2 linked regions of the Saccharomyces cerevisiae S288C genome follow. Changing the gene in region 2 together with the main gene of any one other region gives a genetic interaction. Each region holds a gene or a part of one and is shown on either strand. Other genes may lie near its edges.

Region 1 (3,332 bases), on a different chromosome or scaffold from region 2:
GCCTGCATGAATATCAATCTTGCTTCTCCAAGAGGACACTGCAAGTATTTCATGAGGTATGCTACTGTTATCATACCAGATCGGCCTTTCCCCATTCGACAATGTAAAACAGCCACTCTATTCTTCGAAACGGACAGGTAATTTTCTATACCATCTACAATCTCTTCCAGCAGTTCAAATGGCGGTGGAAAATGATCTAGCCAACCGATCCTTTCACAAATTACATTATTGGTTTCTTCTTCGACCAAGGTCCTTGTTTCGAGATCAATGGGTGATATTGGTATCTTTCCATCATTAATCAGCGTCGAACGTAATTCTTGAATTTCAAAATCTTTGCTCTCAAACTTGGCAGCGATACCAATAAGATCATTATCTTTATAATCGCTGTCTTCTTTCTCACCTCTAAAATTAAAAATTCTAAAATTTCCCTTGCCATGGTACACTGTTAGAAACAATATTAAGTCATCCAAGCTATTCCTATAAAGCAGTTTTGGATACGTGTTTACCGGGTATGAGCAGACTATTAGATTAACTAAAATATATGATATATCTAATCTCAAACCTATATCGTTTTTAGTTTTTTTCATTGGTAAAGACAATATTTTCTTCATCAAGTTGACTGGTTTCCATTTAAGGAAGCCTTTTTCCATTTCTAATTCACTCCCCTCCTCTCTCATTTACACCAAAAAAATAATTTCAAAAATCGGGATGGTGTTATCAATATTGTGGTTCTGAAATTGTCTTATTTAAGTTATCTATCGAGGTACACATTCTTATTTTTATTGTTTTTACTTTTTTTTTTTTATACTTCTCATCGATTTTGTGGCGCTTTCCTAATCCTTACAAAGCTTTAGAATCTCTTGGCACACCCAGCTTAAAGGTTTCGCAATTGGAGTGTCATCATCATTTATGAACTCTTTTATATTCTTTGACTTCCTTGGGTCTAGTAAACCTTCTACGTCTCCATTAACAAATAACTGCGCATGATTTGCACGATAAGATTCATACACAAATTCGTCGAAATAATACGGCGGATCCACCCAGAAAGAATCCAAAGTCTGGTATCCTTTTCTGGAAGCCCTCCTTTTTTTTAGTACTTCATAGGGAGCACGCACTAATATCTTCAAATCAAATTTTTTTGATATTCCAGTATTATTGAAAATCATAAACCCATCTACAATTACAACTTCATATTTGTCGTCATTAATAGAGTCATACTTAGCCTTTAACTCGTCCCAAACTTGTCTATCAATGTGGAACTTTGTAAAGGGATCATCTACGTTGTTATTGTGTATAAGTTTGGTGGCTATTTTACCAGTTTGTTTGATCACATCTAATTCTTTACCGAAAAGTTTAAAATCAAGAGCTTCTGGCGAATCCCAATTTTGAATGTTATATTTAGCATCTACTGGCACTTCATTATCATGTTTGTAAAAGTCATCTTCATGAATTAATGTAGCCTTCGTGAATAAACTTGCTGTAAGTTTCGCAATTGTCGTCTTACCACTGGAGGAGCATCCACTCAATGCAACTAATATCACTTTTTTCGAAGTCATATTTTGAGGTTCTACTCTAGCTCACACTTCGATAGCTTTTGCACGCTATTTTTTCCCTTACTCTGATAAACTATCGGAACAGCCTAAAATGCAAGTTGGTTTTGTTTCTCAGACCAACTGCCGTTCCTTTCCTGCGTGTATTGTTTTTCTGTTTCAAATGAGTCAACGGCAACGATCGTTCAATGCAAATCTTCGAGTATTTAAAAGCAAATGTAAGAAAATTTATATAGGTTAAAGTTATTGTTTACATTTTGACTCCATCTTCTTATCTGACGATAACTTCAGAAATCTTTTTATGTCAGATATATACTCAGGTGCTAATGCGAATTGCCCGAATAGTGAAGCATTTGCATGTCATACAACATCTCGCTGATTTACCAAATAACAAGATTTCCTATTGCATAAAAATTGATCTTGTGCAATCCTTCCTATATTGTTGTTTCCTATAGTCCAGTTCTATTACTGAAACTTATCGATTAAAGTGCATGTGAAAATTCGCGGGAAGTGACGTTTTTTTTTTTTTTTCTTTGGCGTTCTGCCAATATGAAAGATTAGATAGCAAAAGGTTAATGGATACTGAATTCATGAATTTGAAAATCATCTACCATGGATTCGAAAACAGTATTACTAACTGATTCAGGGGAAACAATGGGATTCTTTATTCCTCAGAGTAGTTTGGGAAACTTGAAGCTTTACAAGTATGTTGCTTATCTTATTGCACCCTAAATCTTCTGTGGCAAGAAAAATAAATACTAACTATTGTAACATTAAATTACTAATCTGACTTTAGGTATCAAAGTGATGACCGCTCTTTCCTTTCAAACCATGTATTGAGGCCCTTTTGGAGAAAGTTTGCGACTATTTTTCCACTATGGATGGCACCCAATTTGGTAACATTATTAGGGTTCTGCTTTATTATATTTAATGTGTTAACAACACTTTACTACGACCCGTATTTTGACCAGGAATCGCCACGTTGGACCTATTTCTCCTATGCTATAGGTTTGTTTTTATACCAGACTTTTGATGCTTGCGATGGAATGCATGCACGTCGTACAGGCCAGCAGGGCCCTCTAGGGGAATTGTTTGACCATTGTATTGATTCAATCAACACAACTTTGTCAATGATTCCTGTCTGTTCCATGACAGGTATGGGTTACACATATATGACCATTTTTTCACAATTTGCGATATTGTGCAGCTTTTACTTGAGCACATGGGAAGAGTATCACACCCACAAACTTTATCTAGCTGAATTCTGCGGTCCTGTTGAAGGTATTATTGTTTTGTGTATTTCTTTCATTGCAGTCGGAATTTACGGACCTCAAACCATCTGGCACACTAAAGTAGCGCAATTCTCCTGGCAAGATTTTGTGTTTGATGTTGAAACCGTTCATCTAATGTATGCATTTTGCACAGGAGCATTAATATTTAATATTGTCACAGCTCATACAAACGTCGTGAGGTATTACGAATCCCAATCGACCAAATCTGCAACTCCAAGCAAAACTGCAGAAAATATAAGTAAAGCAGTAAATGGTCTTTTGCCATTCTTTGCATACTTCTCTTCAATTTTTACCTTAGTCTTGATTCAACCATCTTTTATTTCTTTGGCTTTAATTTTATCGATTGGTTTTTCGGTTGCCTTTGTAGTTGGTCGGATGATTATTGCTCATTTAACCATGCAACCATTCCCAATGGTCAATTTCCCATTTTTAATCCCAACTATCCAATTGGTATTGTACGCATTTATGGTTTACGTTTTAGATTACCAAA
Region 2 (4,183 bases):
CAATAATTACAAATTTGAACAAACTACTTTTGCTGCCAGTGATCTAATTCGTGCTCACAATAACGAAATAATCGACTACAAACAGTTGACCGATAATATCGTCATTATCCTTGTCGCTGGCCATGAAAACCCGCAGTTGCTATTTAATAGTTCACTCTACCTTCTAGCCAAATATTCAAATGAATGGCAAGAGAAACTCAGGAAGGAAGTAAACGGCATCACTGATCCAAAAGGCTTAGCAGATTTACCCTTATTAAATGCTTTTCTCTTCGAAGTAGTAAGAATGTATCCTCCTTTGAGCACAATTATTAATAGATGTACTACCAAAACGTGCAAGTTGGGGGCGGAAATTGTTATACCCAAGGGCGTATATGTCGGGTACAACAACTTTGGAACCTCACACGATCCCAAAACTTGGGGCACAACAGCAGATGATTTTAAACCAGAAAGATGGGGTTCAGATATCGAAACCATAAGGAAAAACTGGAGAATGGCGAAAAACAGATGTGCTGTGACTGGGTTCCATGGAGGCCGAAGAGCATGCCTAGGGGAAAAACTAGCCCTAACAGAAATGAGAATTTCTTTGGCTGAAATGTTGAAACAGTTTCGATGGAGTCTTGACCCTGAATGGGAAGAAAAATTAACTCCCGCTGGGCCTCTTTGCCCTCTTAATTTAAAGTTAAAATTTAACGAGAATATAATGGAATAAATATAAAACATGTAGAATTGTATATATACGCATATATGTATACAATCGCGACAACTTTTAGTGAAACTTCTTTGTATCCAGTGAAAATGAAAGGAACAGAACCTGACCAAAGGTCAGTAGAAAAAAAAAAAGCCTTTTATAGAAGTTCTTATCCAATCGTTGACATTTTGTCTGCTCTATTTAATGCTTCAAAAATCTGATCCCAAAAGTACTGGATATTCAAATCGAGACCAATTATTGTACCAACATCACTGTCATTTGGATATTCTTTTTCAATGATAATTTTCCCTGAGTTTTCGTTGAAAACATCATCAATGCAGGATATGTCCATTCTCTTGTAGCGAAATCCAACCGCAGACGATGGATCCCACCCATAAAATTCCAAAAGCGGCATCAAAGCTACCGGATCATGTATAGGTGGGCCCGATTCAAATCCTTGCATATCCTTGTAGGTATGAGCAAAAAATTGAAAAAGCTCCAAAAACAATTCTCGTAACTTGCTGTTATTCTTTTCGTTGTATATCATTTCGTTAACCTTGTAAGTAGCTATGGCCTTGTGAGTTAAATTTAGAGGAACTACTATACATTTGTCCTTTACATCGGGATCACGGAATATGTAATTCGCTGCGTCAGGATCAATCCAAACGTTGAATTCAGCAGAAAGATTTGGGTTACAGTTTCCTAGACCATGGAGTCCACCCCCCATAATGCTAATATATTTGACAGATTTTTTTAGGTATGGTTTACACCTAAAAACTGTTGCTAATGTGGTAAGTGCACCAGTAGACACAAAGGATATCTCTCCATTGTTAGCTAGAATCGCCTCTTCAATGGCCTCAATATACGTTTTATCAGTTCTTGCCTCAAATGTTGGCTTAGGTAGCAAAGAAGTGCCGTCTAAACCTGATATACCATGAATGTCAGGAGCATAATGAGGTTCCCTTTTCCAAGGTCTCTGTGCGCCTTTATAAACTGGAATCGCTTGTGCTTTGCCCATCGCAGTCAAAAGAGAACGGGCGTTGTAGTCAGTATTCTCTGGCGGTGCGTTACCAAAACACGTGCTGATTCCTAGAAGATTGAAAGCTGGATGGAAACAGCCTAATAAAATGGCTATGGCATCATCATGACCAGGATCACAATCTAGCCATATGGGTATTTTACTAACAGTCATCTTTTCTTCAAACAGTCGCTGGTTATTGCTGTCCAACCCTTCCCCAACCTTGCAGATGAGGGAAATTATCTGTTTTAATAAGTTTCGTGAGGTAAAAAAATCAGCAGATTCCATCAAAAGTAGTTGTCACGTATGTGTCAAATATCGCGTTACGTGGTGGTGAACAGAGGGAAAACGTAATCGCGCCTCACAGGTTACCGGTGAGGCTAAGGGAATAAACTTTGAGATAATAATTAGTTATACGTATACATATGGTCGCAGTTATATGCGTTGTCTATTGTACAAATTCTGCTGTATGATTCAAGTTACTGAAGGATATGATATGTCTATCATTGCTTGTGTTCCTGCTCAGGAATAAAGATGTCATTGCCCTGTTCAATAGCCATTCTAGTATGGAAAACAATGTCAGTAGATTCCCATGGATATGCATACCACTTGTCTGGAACAGTTTTAGCTGCAAAATAACGGTTCTTGTCATTCAACATTTCGGCAGGCAAATCTGCTTTCTTTGGTTTTTGCTTATCGTGTAGAACAAAAATCCCGAAGTTTGTTTTCATCTCTGGAGACTTTTCAGTATCGATACCTTTAGCCTTTGCCTGTTCAGCTGCATCCTTTTCCAATTCACTCAAAGCGTAATGAAGTGTGGTACGGGTGTCATCGACTTCGTCAACGATAAGAACGTTCTTGCCGACTAGATCTAATTTACATTGCTCGTAATCAATCCATTGTGTTCTGCTAACCTTAACACCAACTTCCTCAACTTCTGAGCCTACACTGTTCAAATCTTCGTACAAAGACAAAATAATAGCAAAAATTCTGATGGTTGGCACGCCGGGCTCCTTTAGGAACGTACGTAGGATCCTAGCAGGAATGAAACCACCACCACCAATGGCAATGATTAAGTCCGGCTTGAAATTCTTAATTCTCTCAGCGGATACTTGACATAGTTGATGTACGTTGTTGTACGAGATGTATTGCTTATCGTTTGCCGACATTATGGGAACGTAATGGATATAATGAACACGAACGGTAATATAAAAATAAGAAAGATTACAAGGCACTACATCGTATTACTCCAGCTAGATGGAGACTAAAATAAAAAAGTTACGGCAAACCAAACTGCGAAGGGGGAACAAAATCTAACGGAAATTGGGCTTATCAAACATGTTTAAATAGAAAATTCTATAGCAGCTCATCGCTACCCGATTTGGGACAGATGGAGGGGGAAAAATTTTTTTTCCTTTTCTTTCCTAGTAAACGCGAAATATAGAGAAAAAAAATGAAAGAAGTCAGATAAGCGGAAATGATATTAATTGAAATTAATCTAATTAATTTTTTCAGAAGAAAAAAAAAATAAGTGACTCGGAAGGGAAATATGTACTGTCTTTTCTTAGTTAACCAACTATGGTTGTGACGTAAAAGTGGAGTGCTTGCTTGATGTTCCAGATGGCCTTACTGTTAACGATGCCAGATGCAGTTCAAAAAGGATAAACGATTGTGGGGGTCTTTTGACAGATCTTCTTCGCGTGGGATACTTTCGTGATCTTTTTTTTTCTTTTTTCTTTTCTTACATTATGTGGTGAACTCTATATAAGTATTTATGTGCCTAGAGATTATTTTTGTATTCTGATGCGTGAAAGCATTTTATGCATGATATCCTCTATTCCATCTCAACGTCACTATATCCGGCTTCCTCCTCGCCGTCGCTCTGCTCCGTTTCTAAACGGCCATCTTGCTTAGATGAGGTATGCTTCTGTTCCTCTTCGTTGTCACTATCACCTTCTTCTTCTTCTTCACTGCCATAAGATTCTTCACCGTCCTCTATAAGGCCGGCATCATCGAGTTCTTCGTTATATTCAACGTCGTCTTCGTCCTCTTCGACAACTGGTTCGGATGAGTGGATGTCGCCTGCTTCATAGTTCAAAGTTTTGAATTTATTTATAGTACAGTCTAACCTTGCATCCAGTGCTAGTAGCCTTGGTAATAAGTCGGAACGCCTTTTCAAGGTGGAATGTAACGACGATAGAGTAGACATCAAATTTGGAATAGAAACCAAATAGCCACCGTGTATGATTAAACACCATTTTACCCAAACATTCAATGGGCCTTGACGGTGGGTTTGTCTTGCAATCCTCTCTGCCAACCTTTCTAAGAGAATGACAGCCAGTGCTGGTTTCAGACGGAAGATAGTATCCCTAATGACCCTCTCGTCACGATTATTGAGCACTGTTTCCAACAGTGAATGATCATTTGATTGTAGTGCTTGCGACAGAATTACTGTTACCGTCCCGGTTGTCGTAGCA

Evidence for each region. Genes that interact genetically often act in the same process or in processes that back each other up.
Region 1: mutations in URH1 (region 2) and NRK1 are lethal when combined (synthetic lethality), as found in Saccharomyces cerevisiae (2 studies listed by BioGRID, with this or other methods).

What each region holds. Positions count from the first base shown.
Region 1 is NC_001146.8:379,704-383,035, reverse strand, and holds NRK1 (ribosylnicotinamide kinase), read right to left. Parts: upstream 1,557-3,332; coding exon 834-1,556; downstream 1-833. Other genes in the region: TEP1 (putative phosphatidylinositol-3,4,5-trisphosphate 3-phosphatase), read right to left, coding at 1-677; DGR1 (Dgr1p), read left to right, coding at 1,645-1,791; CPT1 (diacylglycerol cholinephosphotransferase), read left to right, coding at 2,205-2,254, 2,347-3,332. UniProt on the Saccharomyces cerevisiae protein: Catalyzes the phosphorylation of nicotinamide riboside (NR) and nicotinic acid riboside (NaR) to form nicotinamide mononucleotide (NMN) and nicotinic acid mononucleotide (NaMN).
Region 2 is NC_001136.10:1,268,760-1,272,942, reverse strand, and holds URH1 (trifunctional uridine nucleosidase/nicotinamide riboside hydrolase/nicotinic acid riboside hydrolase), read right to left. Parts: upstream 1,881-4,183; coding exon 858-1,880; downstream 1-857. Other genes in the region: DIT2 (putative cytochrome P450), read left to right, coding at 1-709; HPT1 (hypoxanthine phosphoribosyltransferase), read right to left, coding at 2,210-2,875; UTP5 (Utp5p), read right to left, coding at 3,541-4,183. UniProt on the Saccharomyces cerevisiae protein: Also acts on cytidine.